Linked DNA regions of Drosophila melanogaster. The protein of the gene in region 4 interacts with the protein of the main gene of each other region in a pairwise test. Each region holds a gene or a part of one and is shown on either strand. Other genes may lie near its edges.

Region 1 (5,826 bases), on a different chromosome or scaffold from region 4:
CTGGCATCCACATTGGTATATATAGTATCTCTTGATTTTCGGCGCTACTCGCTTTCGGTTTCGTTTGCCCATGATGGGGCAGGCTGTGAGATATTGCACTGGGCCTCCGACTTCAGATGGAGATGGAGATGAAGATGAGGCTGCAGCGGCGCGGAAAACCGGTTGCCACATGCCACACCCACACGGGAAAAAAATTAGTTAATTCGGAAGCAAAGGAAAAATGCATCTAAGTTTGAATCTTAAAGTTCAAAGGTCTACTATTATTCAATAGTTAAATTATTTTTTATATATTTTGGAAAGCCATAACATACCCCTACTATTTTCTCAGTGCAAGCATGAAAACAGTTTCCGCTAACCGACTTTCTCCTCGCTGACCCGCAGGTCCCAAGGAGTTCTCCTACCGCGGCAAAAACATGTTCCTAACCACCCACGTGCCCGCGCTGGCCAACAAGAAGGTCGATTGGTTGGATGGTCGCAATCTGTGCCGCGAGTACTGCATGGATCTGGTCGCCCTGGAGACTCAGGAGAAGAACAATCTGATCTTCCGCGTGATCCAGCAGAACGATGTGCCGTACATCTGGACGGCCGGACGTATCTGTGACTTTGCTGGCTGCGAGAATCGTCCAGATTTGGAGCCCAAGACCGTCTATGGATGGTTCTGGTCCGCAACCCGCGAGAAGATCCAGGCCACCAACCGCATCCCACAGGGCTGGGGCTACAACCCATGGTCGCAGACTGGCCACAAGAAGCGCCCGCAGCCGGACAACGCCGAATACGACATCAACCAGACCAAGGAGCAGTGCCTGTCCGTGTTGAACAACGTGTACAACGATGGCATCGCCTGGCACGACGTGGCCTGCTACCACGAGAAGCCCGTCATCTGTGAGGACAACGAGGAGCTGCTGCGCTATGTGGCGGCCACGAATCCCGGCATCCGTCTATAGAGCGGCTCGCTGGGCGTTCGCTGTTTGCCTAATTTTAAAGCTACTTATTATAATATTCCTTAAACGAGTTTTTGTATAATTTTTGTTTGTATGTGTACGACGAAAACGGAAGAAAGCAAGACAAATAGACTTTAGAATTTACAATTTCCGATCCTACAAACACCACAAAACCACCCACCCACCAAATCCACAATACTGCTTTCATCACACCTTAGCACCCAGCACTTAGTCTCACTTCTCCTTCCTCCCTACCTTCGAAACTGCCAATTTTACGCGTAGAATTCTATTCCGTTGTAAACAGTTGAGTCGTTTTCAGATCGCACCTTAAATATTTATAGGCAATCCTAAATTGCAAGTGTTTCGCTCTGACCCACTGTCTGTCATTCAAGCAAGAAATTCGGAATCTCTTTAGTATTTTGTTTGAGACACTCATGTTTTGTCCACAAAGAGATTGAATAAAATTTTGTAAAGATCCCATAAAAAAGAAAACACTTGAATTAATACTTTGGTTTTTATTGGCAATGGTTGTGCTGATGATCGGGTGTTGTGGAGTTGTGATGATGATGATGCCTCTTTGATCTGCGATCGTCATGTGAAGATCCCGAGGAGCTGTGCTCTCTTTTAGAGCGCACGGAACTCCGGTCACTTCTTGACCTGGAATGATGATTCCGCTGTTGGTTGTTTTTGAGATCCCGACCTCGGTTGCCCAAGTCCTTGGAGTTTTCCAGTTCAACCTCGGGGCTTGCCGACCAGCGCCAGTTCCTGCCGTGCTCGCTGTGCTCATCCCAACTGAAGAGATAGGGAAAGTATTTAAATAGTTTGCCGGAATATAAACTAATATTATATTTAAATCCACCTGGGTGTCTTGGCCGTTGGAGTTTGGCTGGAGCGTCGTTCACTGCGTGGACCGCTGGTGTACTCCAGTTCCGTGTTGAACAGGTTGTTCGGATTGCCAAACAGGTGCAGATAGCCGCAGTCGTTACCTTTGGGACATTTACGTGTTAAGGACAAACCTTTAAGAAGTCACAGATTGTGTTAAAGAAAATGGTATTAAAACATATGAATGGGCTTGCTTTGAGTTTTGGTTTTTTAAAGGATACGGCTTCCTCTTGGCATGCAGTTCACGTACCGCAGACTGCGCCGCGCCAGGTCCTCAGATTGGAGAACTCCACGTTTAGTCGCTTGGAGGCGTAGTAGCGACCTTGGAGATTGGTAAATGCGCGAAGTGCAGATCTGAAATCATGACGTACGCTTTATAATAATTAGTTTATGACCTCTTTAGACATTATTAACATAACATAAAAGTATGCAAGCGCAGAGACAATACAATATATATATTTTTTGGCGAGAGAACAGGTATAAATTAAAATTGTGAATTATATGAATTAACTTTTACATGAAAATGCTGGGAAATAGGCTGCATTTGAATATCCGAATTGCTTGCATATAAACAATGTCATATTAATTAAATAATAATAATGATAATTAATACTCTCAGACAAACCGTTCGTTTGTGTACTCCACAAAGACGTGACCCCTGAGGTGTTCCAGCGTATTGCGCACCGTGCGGAAGTTGACAATGGTGCCGAACTTTCTCAGTTCTTCGACGACATCGTTGAAGAACTCATCGTAGTCGTGGCGCAGATCCTGTTCGGTCAATTCCAGGTGTTCCTCCGCCGAGGCGTACTCCTTGTGCGTGCATCGCTTCTGCAGCATGGAATGGTTGAAGAAGTGCCGGATGAGAAGGATCCTTCCCAGCATCGGGCGGCGATGGTTGAAGGTGCAGGCGTGACCGTAGCGGCAACAGTTGGTGCGGCTAAAGAACTCGCAGGCTCGTTCCTCCGGATGCGTCTCCATTACACGCAGAAGGTGGCTGGGTGGCTTCTCGATACGCGGGTTGTTCAGATACTCATCCATGCTCTCCATCATGGCATCGAATTCGGCGGCAGCCTTGGCGGCTTTTCGTGTCTCTTCCTCGCGCTGCTTCCGCTGTCTCTCCTCCCGTTCCGCCCGCTCTTTCGCCTGTTCCCGCTGCAAACGCTCCACTTCCTCCTGCTCCTGACGCTTCTTCGCCTCGTCCATTTGGAATTGTCGCTGCGCTGTGGCTTCGCGTCGCAGCCAGGACTCCTCCGCCAACTGGCGCTCCCGTTCGTCGGCTAGTCGTTGGAATTCCTGCATTTCCTCCTGTTCCTGCGACCATTTCTGGTACTCCGGCTGCATAAGTCTTTGGTTTTCCGCCTCTTCCTCCAGTTTATCACGTTCTTTGGCATGTTTTTGACGACGCCGCTTCCTCTGCTGCTTCTTGATTAACTTTCGCCGTGCCCTTTGTATAAATTATATACATTAAATTAAATTATACATTATATTTAAACAAATTTATAGTTATTTACTTCCTTCCCGGCATTTCGCAAAATCAAAACATTGAATTTCGGTGAGCAGCTGAAACGCATTTGTGAGAACACAGCTGATTAATACCGTGTACAGGGTCTATGAAAAATACCACAAAATACTGCAGCACGAAAAAAATTACATTTTTACATTTACATATTTTTCAAAGTTTTCATAAATCTGGCAAATCAAAAATGTTTTGTAAGTTTTCCCTCAAAATTAAGATTTCATATCATAAATGTTTAAAATTTACGAATTCTTACGATTTTTGTAATTCAAAATTTATTATAAATTATAACAGTCTAATATAACACCAAGTTTCGTTCTTGCTATAAAATGTAAAATAACATTGCTGTATAGCACAATGCCAAAAGCCTCAGTTCAACTTACACTGCTATAAATTATGTTATGTGATTTTTATAGCACTGTGTCGAAGAGCTTTTAAAATTTAATAGAAGCGCTTAGTTTGAATATTTTCTTGTTTATCAGATTTGTATATTTTGAATTGAACCGTTTATTCAAGCTTTTTCTCAATTCCCCCTTCCATCGAACCAGAAACTTTCGAACTCGAAAATTCCCCTCTGCAACAATGTTGCCAGCAACATTGTGTCCGGCGATTGCCGAAGATGCGAAAAAAAATCAAATTCAGTGATAAAGTAAAATTCGTGCGCGTCGGTTCACCTACACTTCGTGTCGCCAGAGAAAGCCTTTCTCCTGGCTTTCTCTCTGAGCTCTCCTTTTGCGCTCGGCTCCGAAATCCGAAGTCCGGAATTTGGACTCCGGCTCAAGCGCCGAATCGCCGAGCTTGGCTCACGGAAAACCAACTGAGTTGTGCGAAACTAAGTCAAAACAATTGATGTGAATTCTCGCGGCACAACTTGATATTAGATAAATGAAATAATTCGCGCCGCTGGCACTTTGAACTCGTAATCAGGTCGCAAGCATATTCACGGTTTTTTGTGTAGTAACCACAGGAATTCAAATTCATATTCGTTGAGATTCTCGCAATGCGGCTAATTGGATTTATTCTGAATTTGGCAGCCCTAACAGGTAAGTGGTTCTTACACTGGGAGAAAAAGAAAACAAATGTTATCTAAATACATAAAATAGCCTGATTCTAAAGCTAGCAATTAAGGGATATTTAGAAAACAATATTTTTGGATTTGATGCTATCAATCCATAGATGCTATATTAGTTGTAATAGTAGATTTTTGTAACCATCACTTATTGAAATGCAATTAAATAACTTAAATATAAACTTAAAGAAAGAAGAACATATATCGCAAATTAAAACAATATGTTCTTTACTTACAATTTTTTTCTGTACGCCTAAAAGGGGCATTTAATTTTCAATAATAAACGATTTGACCGCATTTGTTGCTCTAGTGTTACATTGGCTGAGGTGGTCATCGAGTTCTGGAGGGGATGTGGATGGGGATGAGGATGTGGCGACCTCTTCCGAGTTACGTTCTGCGTTTTATTTTCGGACCCATGAACGGTGTTTATTATGTTCTTGTCTGGTCGATGGACAGTTACGAGCTTTAGTAGTATTCATAATGTGGTTGTTGTGGTTTTCCGTCTTCCTCGTCGTCGTCGTGTCGTTACGTATTTATCAATATTTGCCCTCTGTATTTAGTTTTGTGGCTCAAGTGTCTCGTGGCTAATAGAAAATCGATGCTGGCACATTGTTGCACATTTCGCTGAAGTATCTCGAAGATACTGGGAAAGTATCTTGCCGCTTTGCAGCCCTTTTGCGCTGTTCTCACTGCTTTCTGTTGGATTTTTTGAAGTCGCTGTCAGTCAACGATGTTTGCTCTTAGTCTTTCGATCAATTTTCACTGCCTAAAAGCTGTCTGAGGGGTGTTAAGTCGCACTTGAATGGCATTTTCCATGGCCTGCCACATGCCTCTGATTTTCCATGGAACCATTTTCCCGTTTTCCCGTTTGCCATGGTCCTCGTCTCCGGACGACACTTCAATCTGCATGCCCCACATTTATGTGGCGCTGCGTTTTTGGGCTTCTCGTTGCTCGCTGCTCTTTGATTTCTTTCGTCCTTTTGGCCCGCACTCTGCTCACTTCGTCCTGCGTCCTTGCAAATATTTAATTTAAGCCTGCTGTCATCTCTCGCCGAAGGGTATCAACATTTGCTGTCGCCTCTTGTCGCGCAGTAAAGTGGCAACAATGGTTTTATTTATTTCAGCAAAGCATAAATGATTAATGTAATTTTCATTTGCTCAACAAATCTATTTATATGAATAAACTTCGCATTTTTGTAAGCAACGTTTTTTTATAATGGGCAAGTGCATGTCCTTAGTTAGGGACTCCCAACTTCGCCTTGTTTATATACCCTTCACTTTGACCATTCTTCGAGTGGATACACTGCAGCTGCACTTGCTTTTATCCCTGGTAACTGAATCCTTTTTGCGCCCCATTCCGTTTATTGCTGTTGCTCTGGCCCACTTGCGGTTTTGTTTAATTACGCATATTACTCCGC
Region 2 (4,945 bases), about 10 Mb from region 4:
CGATGACTCCATTACGGTCCTGGCGAGATCCTGTCCACGTCTGCGAGCCTTGGACATCGGGAAGTGCGATGTGAGCGACGCGGGGCTTCGAGCTCTGGCCGAGAGCTGTCCGAACCTGAAGAAGCTCAGCCTGCGCAGCTGCGACATGATCACGGACCGCGGGGTGCAGTGTATCGCATATTATTGTCGCGGTCTCCAGCAACTGAATATCCAGGACTGTCCGGTTTCCATCGAGGGCTACCGGGCGGTCAAGAAGTACTGCAAGCGCTGCATCATCGAACACACAAATCCGGGATTCTGTTGAGATGTTCCATAGCCGGCGGTAGACACCACAAAGCACAGAGGCAGGCCATATGAGCACAGATATAAAGGGAATTTATGGGCAAAGAAAACTCTTGAAAAACAAAATAGTTGATGAAGTGGCAGGCAAATTTTAGCCATACACGGACTTTTGGGTCCTCAAGTCCCCAAGTCTTAGTTCAATGATTAACCGATATAATCTATTGGTTTGGATATAATTTAAATTGTTCTCTGTAATCAGCCACCACTTTGCCCGAGCTAAATGAGATTATTGTAAATTGTATATATCAAACTGACGCAGGACAGAACTAGCGTAGCATAGAGCATGTTCAGTAGACTATGTCTAAGTAGACTAATTCTTGGAGTAATAAATTATTTTCCCCACCAGAAACGGTTCAGTGCTTGGATTTTGATTTTTTCGCCTTTCTCCCCAGAGCGTCGAAAATGTTTGGTTTCAATTGCGGCACATGGTCAAGGATGTACGGAGGACGTACGTCCATAATTTCCCGCGTGTAGTGGTTGCCGTGCTTGGTCTTGCGCAGCCGATCCAATTCGATGGTAGCCTTTATTGACGGCCTGGAGCCCTCCGCTGGAGTGATCTTTATCTTGGTGCAGTGCCCCCGCTCCAAATAGTTAATAGTGGCGATCAGGGAATGTATATCAGCGATGACGGACGAGGTCTGCTCGTGGATTTTTAGCAGAGCCTTCAGATTGGCATATATCCTGGCCAGCCGTTTGTCCACGGGGGATTGATTATTAGGATCACAGTTCTTTTTCTGATGCGGAACTGAGTACTTGATGAACTGGCGTTCGTTGCCCTTCGGTGGTTCAGGAGTCTCCTTGCACGGCTTGGGCACCAACCGCTCCGACACCTCCATCAGTCGCACCTGCTCATCCAAACTGCTCAAGGGCAGCTTTCGCATTATGCGGCGCAGCTGCTTGCGCTTTTTGGGCGTGAGCAGGTGGTGGTGCTTCTGAAAGCGCTCCACTCCGCGGTGCAAGTTCTCCATCATCTTTACCCAAACGTCCATGCTCCTGCTCTCCGCCTCGATTTCATTCTGGAGTCGTACGCGCTTTGAGCGAAAATGCCGTATTTGTCGTTGTAGCGACTTCGTCTGATTCTGATCATTCAAATGCTCGCGGACCAGACGGTCGTAGTCCTTTTTCCAGTTCGGTTCCTGAATCATTGGCTTAACTAGGGAATTTCGAATTTTTAAAAACGATAACTGACAAATGCTATCGATGACAAAGTAGTCGTGGTAAAAATATTTAAATAATTGGTTTTAAAAATATTTCGATTCTCGATGATATAGCTATTATATATATCGATAGCTAATTATGAAAGCCGTGTACCATCTCCAATCAGCTGTTTCACCTGCTTTTCGCCGCCTGCTCGTTAGTAAATATCTGGAGTAAAAGCTAAAATTTACCTGGTAGCTCAATACAATTATAAATCACATTCGAAATTAAGTGTTAAAAGTTACGTATGCATTTTTTTAGAAGGACGCCTTTTAAATAGTACAATTGGAACACGGAGGGTCACTACGGTGTTGCGTAATTAAAGCGACACGTTTTCTGAGACCCAAAATTAAGCTGTACACATAGAATGCCGGTGTTTTGACGTACGAATCCAAGGAATACAAGAAACCGTCATGGCCAAGTATATCGCCCAGATCATCGTGTTGGGCGCCCAGGCAGTGGGAAGAGCCTTTACCAAGGCGCTGCGCCAGGAGATCGCCGCATCTCAGGAAGCAGCACGACGGGCGGGTGGTGGCAAGCAGGGCGACAAGAGCGCCGAGTCCAACCTGCGCACAGGTGAGTCTTGGACACAGTCATGCTATCTATTTCACTATTTACACCTACTTATCAATGCAGGCATGACGCTGGAGGAAGCCAAGCAGATCCTGAATATAGATGACCCCAAAAACGTGGACGCTATCACCAAGAACTACGAGCATCTGTTTCAAGTCAACGAACGCTCCAAAGGCGGCTCCTTCTATATCCAGTCAAAGGTTTTCCGGGCGAAAGAGCGGCTGGACCATGAGATTAAGGCCCATGAGCAGCCGAGGTCGTCAAATACGGAAGCAGCGCAAGATACGGCGGAGGAGTCTCAGAGCAGATCGCGGCAGCGACGCTGAGTATCCTTGTTGTCCCAATCGAACTAATTAGCTGATAATTGATTTAAAAACTACGTGTTAAGTACAAAAAATGAAAGTCTGTTGCTGTAAATAGAGATTTACGAACATGAAGACAAGTGTAAACACTTTCTGAGAAGAGCTCGACTTTCCAGGAACACAAATGTAATGGAATTCTTGTAAACTAACACGGATTAGCTCAGGCGGTTAGGTATAAATATTTTACTCTCAGGCCAGGTAACTAGAATCGGATCGATTTTAAGATCACGCTTCTTGGGGTTTGAAAATAAAAATATTTTAAGTATCAACAAAGTTCCATGTCTTGATCTAGCTATAGCTAAAATTATGCTGATGTAAATAAACTAATGCTGCAATGGGCTTCCAAACTTTCGCAATAGGAACTTGGAAATTTTAAAATCAGCTGTTGCAGAAGCCAGAGATGCGCGAACATATCGGTAGAGCTATCGACCGACAGCAGTCAGCTGTTCGATGGGCAGCACTGGCCGAGAACAAACCGAAAATAATCATTACTGGTGCGCAGTTGTTGTTTCCATAGACGTGTCAATTGTTTGTCTAATTGCGCCAGCAGCAGCAAAACGACGCCAAAGCACACATGCGCATTCCAGCGCACAAATATCCCACCCACGAAAATCGCAATACCATCGCCCCAGCAACGCGGAGGAGGGGGTGGACTCCACTTTTCCAGGGAGAAAGCGAACGTACGCATACGAGAATCCGAATCTGAGAATCCCCAATCCCCGAGTCCAAGAGAGCGAAGACGACACTCCAGCTCGGTATTTGAGACATCGACATTCCGCTGCTCCGTCAGTTTTCAGAGGACCTTCGAAGTGGGCAGCCGAAAATCCAAAAGTCTCCTGGCAGCGAACGGAAAACCAAAGAGAAAAAAAATAAGAAAAGCAAAATCCAGTTGGCAGAGAAAAGCTCAAGTGGTAATTGGCTGCGACTCAAATTACTTTAGTTGTGCAAATAGCGAATAGCTATAAACCCAAAAAGAAAAGAAACTCGAGCGTGGCGTGTGTCCATGTGGAAAATCGATCGAATCGCAGAGTATTTATCGTGTAATTGTGCCCAATAGCCACGCAATTCCCAGTCCGTTTTATTGATTTTCCCCACCGCCTCGCCAAGTAGCAATAAAAACCATTCTTTTACCTTCCATCTCGGCCATCTGGACAAAGCAATTGCAGCGTGAAAAATTCAAATTTCAAGTTAAATGCGAGAATTTACATAACGCCGAGCGTTGAAAGTGAAACTTCTGTGGTGCGAACGAAACACTGAAAGAAAGGAAAACCCATTACAGGACATTCTATCTGCCTCTGCCCAGTGTAGTAAAAGTTGGAGAGCCAGGAGCGGGAGAGCAGTGGAAAACCGTGAGAACCGCGAGAACAAGAGAGCCTAGAGAGCGTTGAACGTGCGCACGTCTTCCTGGTCAGGACACACCACCAATCCTTGAGAGAAACAGCAGGAGCCAACATGTTTTCGGGCCTAACAAATCAATTCACCTCGCTGGTGGGCGCCGTTAAAGGAGGCGCTGGCGACGAGGATGTGCCCGCGCCCACAGGAGATGCGCCCGCAGCCGCTCCAGCAGCATCCACATCCGTGGAGGCCACGGCCTCCTCCGCCGTGGACCCGGAGGCAGCTGCCGCAGCCGGTGGCGAAGGACTCGAGGGCGAGGAAGCTGGCAAAAGGTAAGTGTGAATCGAACAATGCGCGCTGGGTAATCCTTCGGCCCATCTTTCTAGTCTTCCGTGACTGTGACTCCGAAATCCAGACTTCAGTCGACCTGACATGGCGTGCCAATGTGACCTTGCTATTTGTACCTTTTAACATTTCGCTCCGTGGAGTTCCTACCCTCCAGCAATCGCTCCTTTACGGTACATTCATCATTGTTTTGACACACTCCGCTTATCCTGCATTTTACGTTGCATTCCGCACGCTCTCACGTGACTGAACATAATTGCTTAAACTGGAATCCAAATGCCCGATAATTTCACTCCCATATATATCCTATATGGCTCCGCTTCCTTGCGAAGCTAGTCGACTGACTTTCCTGAACATTTCTGGCTAGCAATTTCGATTTGAAAATGCCAGGCCAATTTGTGGTTTAAATGGATTTCGTTTGATTATTCTTGAAATGGCAAATCGCATTGTGAAGACTGTATTTCTTTTTAATTGTTGAAATATTTGAATCGTTATAGAATATAGCATAAATCAGTCTTCAAAAGAGTCTCTCAGCTTGGCATATATGTATTACTTAGTATGGTAGACTGTCAGTAGTGTAATTCTCCAAGCGAATTTATTTGCCCTAATTTTGTTGACCAAAGGAAATTCCTTGAACTGTCAGCAAACGGAAAAGAGCAACTCCATGCTTACTAACTTCCGACTGGTTTCTTTTCTTTTACTTCCCTCAAACTGAGTGGATAGGACTGCCCTATTTCTTTTCGACCTCGCCGTATCATTTGACCTCGTCCTTCGCGCTTCTTCTGGGTACT
Region 3 (6,281 bases), on a different chromosome or scaffold from region 4:
CAGCAGAAGAAGCTGGTGGCGCAGCAGGATCAGTTGGTGGAGCAGACTAACGCACTGTTTGCCACCCAAGAGAGAGCTGAACTTTTGGATGGGCAAAATGCCAATTACGAAGCCCAAACTGCGGATTCGAATCGCGAAATGGTTAGTTTGAAGGAGGAAAATGCTAGAATTCTCAGCGAGCTGTTCCACAAGAAGGAGGAGGTTGGCAATCTTCAGGCGGAGATAAGGGGCTTGGAGTCTGCGCAAGCCAACTTGCACGCAGAGATCGATTCCCTTCAGGACACTTTGGCCGAGAAGGAGCAGTTCTACGTGCAGCGGGACATTAAATCGAATGCCACACTTGCGCAGCACAAAAAGCTGATTGACTACCTTCAGGTATAGCTAGTTTATATATATTCTTTTTAAGAGAATAGTTAATGAGATTAAAAACATTTTTGTATTTATATTTTAGCTCAAAGTTGAGGACCTATCCGCCAAGAAGAAAAAGACATTGGCGGACAAACTTTTCGGTTCTAGCCACACAAACAAGGAGAACGTGTCACCCAATGACGTGGAATCTTCCATTCTGTATCGCGCTCTAAAGGAGGAACTGAAGCGAGAACAAAAGATGAACAGCTTGCTGAAGGAGCAGTTGGCTCAGTTGAATGGTGGGATTTCTTTAGATTTCGCTTGATGTTTGTATCTAATTGTATATTTCCTTTAGGAACTGCAACCTTGCGCTCTCCACGCAAATCTGCAGCTGTTAATGGCGACTCCGATGCACCCAAACAGAGACCCGTAAGCATTGCTGCCTTGCCACGTTCTCCACAGAAGCAGCAGCAGCCCCTGAAGCGCACCACCAGCCAGGTGGAGCTGAAGACGACGGCGGAGAAACCGACTAAAGTAACCATTGAGAACCAGGCTCATCACCGTTTCGAACTGGCCCTGCAGGAGTCCAAGGTGGATGCCGTCAACTGTGTAGTTTGCGAAAAGGCCGTCGTTGCCGGTTCGCCGTTCTGGAAATGCAAGGAGTGCAAAGATGTTACGCATCGCAAGTGTCGCTCCAATGTTCAGAGCCATTGCGGATCCACCAAGCCGACTGCACCGTCAGCCGATGATCTTAGCAGTATTCAATCTGTCTCCAGCTTGACTTTGGATAGCGTAGATGTTGCGGGTGGTACAACCAGCGGTGGCGAGTACATTGGATCGCTGGTCTACAGTTCGGATGGTGCAGAAGATCAGGCACGGAAGGAGATCGAAGTGAACTGCGCCTTTGAAGTGGCCGAGCAGCAAATACTCCTATTGGGCTGTAACACGGGACTGTATGCGTATCACTTGGACTCGCAGCGATTGGTGCACATTTCTGGTCTCGAATCGGTGAGCTGCATGTCCATTTGCAAGCGCCTGGCTAAGGCTATAATGGTGGGCACAGTTGGCGAGAAGCTATATCAATGTGACTACCGCCAGCTGGAGTCACGCTGTCAGAGCTCCAGTTCGTGTCACAAGCCTGTGCTGGAAACGTCGGCCATTGAGCTGCCATTTGCCAATCGCACGCCATCGGAGAAATGGAAACTAGTGCTGATCTCCGATGAGGCGGAGAACGCATTGGATTCGGTGGCTATTGCGGCCACGTCCACTAGGATTGTCATCTTGAAGTACGACCTTAAGCTGCACATGTTTAAGCCAGTTCGAGCCTTGGACACGGCCACGCCGGTCACATCCATATTCTTTACGCGTCACTCGGCCATTGTTAGCTCGGATAAGTTCTACGAGATCGATTTGGACAACTATGCGGCTGAGGAGTTTGTGGATCTGTCCGATAAGTCAATGGAGAGCACTGCCAAGTGCCAGCCCCTAACTGCGGTGCGCATCTCACGACAAGAGTATCTGCTCTGCTTTGCCGAATATGGCGTCTTTGTGGACGAGTTTGGCTGCAGATCCAGGCCGTACGATTTGAACTGGGTCTATGCACCCACTGGATTTGTTTACCGCGATCCATTCCTATTCATATCGCACTATCAAAGCGTGCAGATAGTCCGTTTGCATCGGTCGTTCAGCAAGGAAATGGCCAGCGGGGATAACGCATCGGAGAATTCGGAATCCCCGGAACTGCAGCGCGTCTACTTGCCCCACTACATGTCCACGCTGCTGGCCAACAGCGGAGATGTCAATCTCTATGCCGTGGCCATCGATCAGAGGCCCTGCAATGGAACACAGAAGATCTACCATCTGGACACGATGCAGGCATTCAAGCAGAAGTTCAATATCTCCATGGAAACGCTGTCTTCAGTGGCCACTTCTGTGACTTTGGGCTCGACTGTCACCGGAAATAGCATATAGATGAAGGATATATATTAACTAAACGAATGGACAAAGCAAAATACTACAAACTGAGTAGTTGTAGTTATATCTAGGGTTAGGATATGCTATACATTTGGATTATTATTATTTTAACTTGTCAGAACATATGTTTTTTCACAATCTTTTTCATGTGTAACGATTGCCTAAAATCACATGGCAGAATCTTTTAAAAATTACTTAATTTACTCTTTAAATACTTTGTGCTGTATACACAAATAAAACTTGAGATTTTGATAAAAAAGGTAATTCATATTAAATTAATATATTTATTTTGATCACTAAAATATCGAAGCATATTAAAGGAAATATTTTTTAATTAATTAAAGAAGTCGCATAATATTTTAAATCAATTTTACTATGCAGGATAGCTTTTCGAATAGAATAGTTGGGGGCATGGAGTCGACGCCAAGCTTTTGGGGCTGATCCCACGCAGCTTTTCGGCAGCAGCTTTCAATGTCCCGCAATTCGAAAGCCCCGGAAATGGAATCGTGCTCTCCGCTGGCATTACTGCCATCGTTGGCTTGGCCGCTGGACGCCGGACTGCTGCACTGCCGCCGTCGCAGATTGTGTTAATTGATTTCAATTGGCTCCACGCCATTTGAGTGGCCCGTTGAATCTCCCGACGATGCCAGCAACGATGTTTGATTCCCAGCTGAGTTTGTGCGCGGGTCGCATTGTCGCCGATTCCACCACCACCACTACCTCCGGCATGGATGGATGCGATGGTGCCAAGACGATGATATGCCGCGCTTGTCTTGTGCTACTGGGTCCGCAGGATGCGTGTCACAATCTGGACAGCGAACAGGATCTGGCCAGCAAGTACTACGGCTGTACTGGAGAGGATGCCGTTAGGGATTTGCCACCCCAGTTGGTGCTGAAAAGCATCTGCGAGTGCTGCTATCAGTTGGTGCAAAAGTTCCACGACTTTCAACGCATGTGCGCAGAGTCCTTGCGCAATTTTGAGAAGCTGCTGCAGGACATCGACATCGGATGCCACAAACTGGAGGACCACACTTGGCACGACTTGGACACCCCCTCGGAGAGCAACGAGTCCACTAATCCGGAAGCCCAGTCGCACGCACCCTGCATCGCAGCGACGCAGGAGATTGTGAGTTTTATCTGGCCACAAGTGTGCCTGCCTCTGGCCGTAATCTTATCTAGAATCACATTGGGTGCTTCGCTCGAGGTGTGTTGCCTAGCAGCCAAGCAAAGACAATACTGCTCCCCATTCCCCGCCATAAACAAAAACATTTCGACAGCGTTTGTTTGTGTTGTACTATTTTTGTTTGGTGGGTGATAGCACTCGAAAAGGAGGCACGTCCCAATCTATTGGGTATTTTTAAATTTTCCACTAATAAAATTGGGAAGATGGCAACACGCCTCGATTTATGGCTCCTCCAAATAAGAAAGTCGATTTTAAAGGCCAGTTTTATCTAGAATAGATAAATGTGTTCCCTAACTTTCACTCATTTTAGATATTATTTATAGCGCCTTTAATATTTTTAGCATTAAAAAACTAAACTAAACAGATAAGTGACCGCCAAAAGTTCGGTTCACAAAATATTACTTTCATTTTATCATCTTCTAAGTCGAGCGATAAGATAATCTTAATAGCAAATTAAGGAAAAATTTCCACTTTAAAGTAATGAGTAAACATAATGTAATTCCTACCCTTACTACAAATTACTTAACTCAACCAAAAGCAGTTTGTTTTTATATGCTTAGACCCTTTTTACATAAAAAATTCCTTCATAATAGATATGTACAGAATTCCCACAAAAAAAAAAAAAAACCACCACCATTCAGTTTGCTATGGTAATTAAATATATAATACCCTAAATTTTCCAGGAGGAAGTCTACGTAATAGAGGACGAGTCAGCCAAACAGGATCTGGGCCAGGAGAAGCTATCCATTTCTAGCAAGTTGCTGGGTGCCAGAAAACGACGAGGAGTGCGACACACCCTCGAGTGCCGAATTTGCCACCGTGGCTTCTACAAACCGTCGCTGCTGGAGGCCCATATGCAGCAGCATGAGGGTCTGAGACCGTATACCTGCGTCCATTGTGCCAAGAGCTATGCCCGGGCCAATCTGCTGGAGTCGCACCTGCGGCAGATGCATAACAATGCCGACGCTGCGCGGATCATCTATGCCTGTCCGAGCTGCAACAAGGTGTACACAGCGAACCGAAGTCTCAAATATCACATGAGAAGGACGCACGAAAGGTATCACGAGTCAGAGTCCCCGGATGCGCGGCACATTTGTGAGGAGTGTGGCAAGTGCTTTGCGCGAAAGGCACATCTAACGCGCCACAAGATGGTCCATGGTAGCGTTGAGGGTCGGAGATACTGCTGCGAATGCTGCGATCGCAGATTCTACACCAAGGAGAACATGGTGGATCATCTGCTGCGCAAGCACGGCAATAAGAATCTGCTGCTCAGATGCAGAAAATGCGGACGCATTTTCCAGAACAGCGTGGAGCTCAACGCTCACGGGAGGAAACACAAAGCGATGGATGTAGTTCAATAATTCGTTTTATTTGTGGTTTCAATAACATCAAGCTAACACAACTGTTACAATGATTCGAATTACTTGGAATTTTGTTATGCCAGTATTGTGGGAGAATGCCGCATAATTGGAGATACTAAGACGACGCGAATGGTTGACGAATCGATGAGGCTGCCCTAAAATTAGCTAACATTCACATAATGGCCGGCGCAGCAGCATAGTCGCTTAAAAATCATCAGTACAAAAAAATGGCGATGGCGATGGCGCGCACTCGCAGTAGTTCTCAAAAAAGTAATCATGCGTATATAAAACAATTAACTAAAATTTATCCTTAAGCTTAAAGAACGGATGACAGTTTTAAAATTACATTACCAATACATTCATTTATCATTAATTTGTAGGGAGGAGGAAAGAAATGAGAATAAAAACCAGATTATCCGTCAATCGATCGACAATTACATAAGAAACGCACGGGGTCTTTTGCCAAATGAACTATCAGCATTGAACGTTGTTGAAATTGATCTGGTGATCCACTTAACTGATGGTACTGTGTTACGGTGGTGATTGATGATTGGTTTGTTGGTTGGCAGTAGGTCTTCGGATGAGTGGAGTTGCTTGCACTATATGTAAATAAATACGCCGCAATATGAGCATAGGATATATGACAACGAATTGCCAAACTCTAGGTGTCCTTGTGCTTCTCGTAGAAGGCGTCTAGATATTTTTTGTACTCCTTTTGGTCATTCCACATCATCGCGGCCTGCGCATTCAGTGGACTCTCGTTGTTCGGTTCGCCCAGCAGGGATTGTATGGACAGCAGAATGGTGCGCACATCGTACAGGGCCGACCATTTGTCCTTCAGTATGTCCAAACAGATGGCGCCCTGCAGATCAACATTGGGATGGAAGCAGGACGTCAGGAACTTCACCACGGGTGCTGCATACGGATAGGAATTGGGAAAATCCAGTGACAAACGATACGTTTGCCCCGAATACACCGTGTTCCGTGGACCCGCTATGGTGCCCACCCACTTGAAGATGTTCTCGCCGTCCGGAAACGCTGAGATGCCCCTCTCGTTGGCCATCATCAGGTTCATCAGTTCCTTGTGCAGTCTGTGGGTGAGTGTGAGTGTGTGTGTATATTGGCGGATTATCTAGGCTGCACCATGTGCTACTCACCTTTTGCTCACGGCGTGATTGTCTTTCACGGGCATGGAGTCATCGCTGTGCTTGCTGCCGCCGCCGCCTGCTCCACCACTTTGCTCGGGGCTGATATTCTGCGCCATGACTATATATCTACGTCTATATATGTAGGATGCTAGTGCTATCCGCTGTTTGGCTTTCAGTATGTGCGTGTAATTTAGCGCGCTTCGTGGCGGTCGGGTTTTCGATTCTCAATTGTGATTATATGTACTGTATAGTGGAAATTTAGTTTGA
Region 4 (6,520 bases):
ATCACAACTCTACGTCCCAGCTACGCGATCTCTACGAGGACAAGGACAATGAACGAAAGGCGGAGATTGCCGCTCTTTCGGGGCCCAACGAGTTCAATGAGTTCTACGCCCGCCTCAAGCAAATCAAGCAGTTCTACAAGTCCCATCCGGCGGAGGTCAGCGTGCCGCTGTCCGTCGAGTTCGACGAGATGATTCGGGTGTACAACAATCCGGACGACATGAGTGCCCTAGTGGAGTTCACTGACGAGGAGGGCGGCGGTCGCTATCTGGACCTCAACGAGTGCTACGAGCTGTACCTCAACTTGCGGTCGGTGGAGAAACTGGACTATATCACTTACCTTATGTCCTTTGACCACGTCTTCGATATTCCGAGAGAGCGCAAGAACCGCGAGTACCGCATATACATAGAGACCCTCAACGACTACCTGCACCACTTCATCCTCCGAATCCAGCCCTTGCTCGACCTGGAGGGCGAACTGCTAAAGGTGGAACTTGACTTCCAGCGCCAGTGGCTGATGGGCACATTTCCGGGTTTTTCGATTAAGGAAACTGAGTCGGCGTTGGCCAACACCGGCGCCCACCTTGATCTATCCGCCTTCTCCAGCTGGGAGGAGCTGGCCTCGCTAGGACTGGATCGTCTAAAGTCGGCTTTGGTGGCTCTGGGTCTTAAGTGCGGCGGCACCCTGGAGGAGCGAGCACAGCGTTTATTCTCTACAAAAGGTAAAAGCACCTTGGATCCCGCACTGATGGCCAAGAAGCCCAGCGCAAAGACTGCTAGTGCCCAGTCACGGGAGCACGAACGCCACAAGGAGATTGCCCAGCTAGAGGCTCTGCTCTACAAATACGCGGATCTGTTGTCTGAGCAGAGAGCGGCTACCAAGGAGAATGTGCAGAGAAAACAGGCTCGGACTGGTGGCGAGCGGGACGATAGCGATGTGGAGGCCAGCGAGTCGGACAACGAAGATGATCCCGACGCGGACGACGTTCCGTACAATCCCAAGAACTTGCCGCTCGGATGGGACGGTAAACCTATCCCCTACTGGTTGTATAAACTGCATGGCCTGAATATTAGCTATAATTGCGAGATATGTGGAAACTTCACCTACAAGGGTCCTAAGGCTTTTCAACGACACTTCGCCGAGTGGCGGCATGCGCACGGCATGCGATGCCTCGGCATTCCGAACACCGCCCATTTCGCCAATGTCACCCAGATCGAGGACGCAATCACGTTGTGGGAAAAACTCAAGTCGCAAAAGCAGAGCGAGCGCTGGGTAGCCGATCAGGAGGAAGAGTTCGAGGACTCGCTGGGAAACGTTGTCAACCGAAAGACGTTCGAGGATCTAAAACGCCAGGGTCTACTTTAGAGGACAAGCCTACGATTATGGTCGCTTGAGTACCGGTCAATTCTATATGACGCTTCCTCTAAAACCTCAACAGTCTTTATAATTCAAAACGGAATGACACTAAAATTGGTTTTATTTAAGGAATCTAATGTTAAGCCATAAAACCATTGGGCGTCCTTTTATTCATTAAAGAAAGACCATGGATCAGCCAACGATTCATGATTAGAATCAATTGTAGTTTAAAATAAACCCAACGTCGTGTAGTTTTCGATAAAATGGATAACAGTTTTAGGAATATAACATTAATTAACGATGAGGACATCCATTTTCAGTCCCAAATCATCTACCCTAGCCAAAGGAAGGAGGTAAACGGTTCGCCCTGTCGCTTGGGATTCAGTTTTTTGGGTCTGAAGCCAGGGAAACTCCTGGTACTGGGAGTCATGGCTGAAGCGGATGAATGCCTCCTGGGTAGTGTGCAGATGCACCTTAAACTGACAACTTCCGGCGGGCAGTTTAGGCGCCTGGTTTAAGCGCTGAGAGATTTTGTAGATGACAGAGCGCATGTTCTGCTCGAACTCCATCAAATGATCCTCTGCCGGTAGGCCACTCCTCTGGGTTTCTAGTTGCATTTTATAGCTCTCCAACTTCTCATTCTCCTTCTGATACACTATTAGCTCCAGGCACTGCAGCTCCCGGCGGCGAAGAAGTTCTTGTGCGGATTTTAGGACGCCGGCCAGGTAGTTATTAAGCGGTGGAAATATGGACACATAGATGGGCGAGTTGTACATCCGCTTCATTTTAAAAATGTGCGAGGGGTATATACCGCGCACGTATAGAATGTGATTCACTAGCACCTCCATCGCCTCCACGATGATGTCGGCCTTAATCTCCGCCTGCATTTCGCAAGCAAGCGCAACTAAGTTCACAGATGATTGTTTATTTTTTAGATTTAAGCTCCGTTCATTAGGGGTGGTTCACTAAAAAAAACAATGAATCGATATGGCGCGACATCATAGGTTACTAGATTACACAGATTATCTTTTTTAAATTGCTTTTCTATTTCTCGAAAGCCATATTCGTAAATTAAACCGTTGATATATAAAATTATAAATTATTAAATGTATCAAACTAATTGCATCTGTTTGGTCATTCAAATCGACATTTTAACAATCGATATTTTCAACGTTATCTGTTTATTATTTCAAAAACTTTAAGAAGGTAACATAAAGAAATTGATTTATGTTTATATTTAAATCTTTTAGTTTTTCATTATTTTAGTACTTTTTTGCAATCATAATTATTTTGCGTACTGTCCAGGAGCATTTTGTAGTAAGATTCAGTTTAAACAGAATTTAAAGAAGTGACATTTGGAGTAGAGAAACCAATACAATTCTTATTGAAACCGAATAATCTATACCCTTTCGATTTAAACAACATAAGGCGCCTATCGCCGTCTAAATGAAATCGTCTGTGGCACAAAAATATCGAAAGCGCTCGCTGACGTTAACCCACCTCTAGCTGAAAAAATGGCTGAAATCCAAGTGTGTGTGTAAAGGAAACTGTGTGTGAAAAATTTGAGTTTGTTACCAATTTGGAAATACCGACGTTGGGGCTACAAAATACAGGAGCATTGCCCACTGGCCACAGCATCTGCCCTTTAAACGAGTCATCACGGAAGCTGTTGAGCGATAAACGCCAGGCGGAGTTCCCGAAAATTGGCAATTGATGCCACTCACGGAAATCGGCACTCGGCACCCTGCACCCTGCACTTTTCGGTCACAGCGGCCTGCAATTACAGACAAGCCAGGCCGAAAGGCGACTACGCGGACTCCGGCTGGGCATCGTATCGAAAATGTGGCTACCAGGCCGAGAGCAGAGACTAGCAAGAACGAATAACTAGATGCAAATCGTGCAAATAGCACTCCCTATATGTAATATATATGTAATACACACGCGCCTGCCCTGCCGACAGTGTACACACAACAATATATCGGCTTGATACACACATACGCAGTTGCATCAGCATGTCCGACCGTGATTCCGATGCCGTATCCGACGCTGGTCCTCGCCTGAGTCAGCAGCGCGGGCAGCGGAACCGGCGCATCATAATGCGGATCGAGTTCAAGGACTCGGAGGATTCGGCGTCGGATCAAGACCGGGATGACCGCCCCTCCTGCTCCGCGGCGACGCGCCTGAGACGCAGCACCCGTCGACAGGAGGTGGCTTCGCATTCGGATTCCGACTCCGTGCCCCGGAAGTCTACGCGGAAGCTGCGCAATCGCTACGGGCCGCGGAGCGATTGCTCATCCAGCGGCAGCGATGTAAGGCATTAAAGTTGTAACCACTTCCCAGCGGCATCACCTATTAATGCACTACTTCATTCATTCCAGATCGATCAACTGCCGACGAGAACCAGAAAACGAAAGAAGGTAGAGTCCTCCGATGAGGAGGAGCCCGAGCGGACGCCCAACGCGGTTGGAAGAATCCAACCCATGCCCGCTGACCCCGACGACGGCTTCAGTTCCGACATCAGCAGTAACGATCTGCTGGAGAAGTGCCCCATTTGCTTGCTCACTTTCCGGCAGCAGGAGATTGGTACGCCAGCAACATGCGAGCACATATTCTGCGCGGCCTGCATCGACGCCTGGTCCCGAAATGTCCAAACTTGTCCCATTGATCGCATTGAATTTGACCGGATTATCGTGCGGGACTCGTACGCTAGTCGCCGGGTGGTGAGAGAAGTGAGGTTGGACCTGAGTAAGTCCAATACTGAATTGGTGGTAGATGACGAGGCAGACACCGCTGCGCTTTCCGAAGAGGAGGTCACCAACTGCGAAATCTGCGAAAGTCCGGATCGGGAGGATGTAATGTTGTTGTGCGATAGCTGCAATCAGGGATACCACATGGACTGCCTAGACCCGCCGCTGTACGAGATCCCAGCTGGGTCGTGGTATTGCGACAACTGTATTGACTCCGACGACGAGGATGATAATGAGCAGCTGGAGCTGGCTGACGACTTGGATCAGCTATACGAGGATATTAGAGGTATGGGCTTGCCGGAGACTCGTCTCAGGGTACGTGAGGTGCAGGAACCGCCAAGAATCCTGCGCACCCGTCAAAACGAACGCATAAGGGCTGCTGTACTGCGACGTACTCGCTCGGGCGCTACGTCGGCGGAAGATTCCACACTGACCCGGACTCGTACCCGCACCACCACCACAACAACAACCACTACTACAACTACTCGGCGCACAACCACAAGCACGAAAAAAAGACCTGTTCAGCGGCGGCGACGGAGAAGGACTCGCTATCGCACCTACGTGGTCGAGTACGATCTAAACAACTTTGACGAAAAGTTCGCCCTTAAAACCAGCAAGAAAGTGATAAGACGGCGTAGGCGTCGGCGTCGTCGTGGAGTCGCCACTGCCTCTAGTGAGGGGCCTGGTCGACGTCTTTCAGCCAGCAAGCGACTTGCAGAGCAGATGGGAGTAAAATCGGAAGGATTTCAAAGTTCTCATCTAAGTGGTGGAACAGCCTCCAGTTTCTCGCTATTTGGCAATGCGAACGACCTGGAGTATTTCTCCGATAGTGAGCCAGACGCAGTGAGCCAGATCAGTTCTGCTGGACTCGGATCGACTGCAGTGCAAACCTCAGTGCGCATTGGAAGCATTGGAGCACCGCGCATCCGTAAAGCCTTGCTCCAAGGCAAGGCGCGCATAGCAGCGCCGCCCACAGCTCCGACTTCAGCTCCCGCTGCAGACATACTGTCTAGCATTTTGGATTTGCAGGATCGCTGGCACGATGCTTCACGTAACCTAGGCGAAGTGCATATTAGGGCGGACGGTACCCTCAATATTCCCCAGAGACCTGCACCTACAGCGACGGAAGCGCCTTTACCGAAAGCAGGTACTTCTAAGACCGAGAAGCATTTAACCCAGGCACCGCTTTACCAACAGGGAGGAGGAGGACCTAACTACAACAGAGGCGGAGGAGCAGGCTCAAGTGATAGTTACAACAATCGTTACAGCGGCAATACCAGTTACCGCGGAGGTGGTGGAGGCGGCGCTGGAGGATCTAGCGGTGGTAGTGGTGTGCCCAGCAGTAGCGGGGAAGCTTCCTCGCGACACTTGACCGGTGAAGGAGACGGCCAAGGAGGCGGTGGCTTTGGCAACCAAAACTTTAGCAGCTCCGGCTCCAACAACAACACTAATATGTCAAGCTTTATTCCGTTCCATCTGCGATTCAACACGCCCACCCGCCAGCAGCAACCACGACAGCAAAACGTGCTGCCAGCTAACCAACCCACCCCGCCTTTCCCTGGAAGTGCACCGCCTCCAGCCCCAGTAGCGTCGTCATCAAACAATTTTTCGGGACAGACTCCAATGTTTGCAGCTCCCCTCAATCATCATCCTGCACCAGTGATGGGTATGCCAGTTGTGCTGTCCATACCACCTCCGCCTATGCCACCTGCCAGCCTTCCATGGAACAGTCCTCTCTTCAAGATAACCCCACTCCAGCAAGCACCGGCCAAATCCAACGATGGCAACCAAAACGACGATGTTGACAACTGCCCAAACTTCTCAATTTACTCGCAGGAGTCGCAGGCGGTTGCTAATGCCTCGGCGATGCCGTCAGGGGTTCCACACGGACCAGCGGATGCATCTGATAAGGTATGATATCTATGGGGTTTTCAGAATCTAGAGATATTTAACATGAATAATAGTAGGAGTATTTAGTATACGGAACCGAAGATTTTAATGTTGATTTAGGTAATTATCAAACAAATTAAGCGAGGTAAAGAAAAAAGTGATTTTGATATCAGCTTTGGTGATGAAAAATGTTTGAAGTGGGTAGTTATTAACTTTATTACCAGTAATAAAAGGCAAAATTATGCAAACAAAAAAGCATATTTAAAATTATATAGGTAAGTAATGGGTACATCATTATTCTCGCCATAATCTTCCGAAACAAAAAGATACACAAATGTATAACATTTTAATTTTCAGTTTTTAAAACCAAATATAATGTTATTGAAACCAAAGCAAGCAATATAATTAGTTAAGTAAGTCACGTTTGATAGTTTTTCAGACCAATTCTTCTTCAACGCTTACTAATCTCTAATCTTCTCTTTTCATCTTCATTTAATCCTTTCCTCTGGGACAGGATGATGACGATAT

What was found.
Region 1: the proteins of CG2926 (region 4) and CG3294 interact in a two-hybrid assay, tested with the Drosophila melanogaster proteins (one large-scale study listed by BioGRID).
Region 2: the proteins of CG2926 (region 4) and CG5478 interact in a two-hybrid assay, tested with the Drosophila melanogaster proteins (one large-scale study listed by BioGRID).
Region 3: the proteins of CG2926 (region 4) and CG10654 interact in a two-hybrid assay, tested with the Drosophila melanogaster proteins (one large-scale study listed by BioGRID).

What each region holds. Positions count from the first base shown.
Region 1 is NT_033779.5:4,792,194-4,798,019, reverse strand, and holds CG3294 (uncharacterized protein), read right to left. Parts: upstream 3,363-5,826; 5' UTR 3,349-3,362; coding exon 3,335-3,348; intron 3,268-3,334; coding exon 2,449-3,267; intron 2,178-2,448; coding exon 2,074-2,177; coding exon of another isoform or gene 2,066-2,073; exon of another isoform or gene 2,045-2,065; intron 1,958-2,044; coding exon 1,801-1,957; intron 1,734-1,800; coding exon 1,457-1,733; 3' UTR 1,439-1,456; downstream 1-1,438. Other genes in the region: slf (schlaff), read left to right, coding at 382-944; fipi (factor of interpulse interval), read left to right, coding at 4,340-4,382.
Region 2 is NT_033777.3:15,932,200-15,937,144, forward strand, and holds CG5478 (uncharacterized protein), read right to left. Parts: upstream 1,536-4,945; 5' UTR 1,488-1,535; coding exon 696-1,487; 3' UTR 501-695; downstream 1-500. Other genes in the region: Fbxl7 (F-box and leucine-rich repeat protein 7), read left to right, coding at 1-304; blp (black pearl), read left to right, coding at 1,953-2,115, 2,176-2,438; Sap47 (Synapse-associated protein 47kD), read left to right, coding at 3,927-4,141.
Region 3 is NT_037436.4:12,504,395-12,510,675, reverse strand, and holds CG10654 (uncharacterized protein), read left to right. Parts: upstream 1-2,835; 5' UTR 2,836-2,965; coding exon 2,966-3,526; intron 3,527-4,188; coding exon 4,189-4,866; 3' UTR 4,867-5,302; downstream 5,303-6,281. Other genes in the region: sti (sticky), read left to right, coding at 1-375, 452-647, 704-2,319; vih (vihar), read right to left, coding at 5,528-5,957, 6,024-6,130.
Region 4 is NT_033777.3:5,584,665-5,591,184, reverse strand, and holds the start of CG2926 (uncharacterized protein), read left to right. Parts: upstream 1-2,804; 5' UTR 2,805-3,367; coding exon 3,368-3,664; intron 3,665-3,733; coding exon 3,734-6,013; intron 6,014-6,349; coding exon of another isoform or gene 6,350-6,397; exon of another isoform or gene 6,398-6,405; intron 6,406-6,506; coding exon 6,507-6,520. Other genes in the region: noi (noisette), read left to right, coding at 1-1,364; PolZ2 (DNA polymerase zeta subunit 2), read right to left, coding at 1,646-2,242.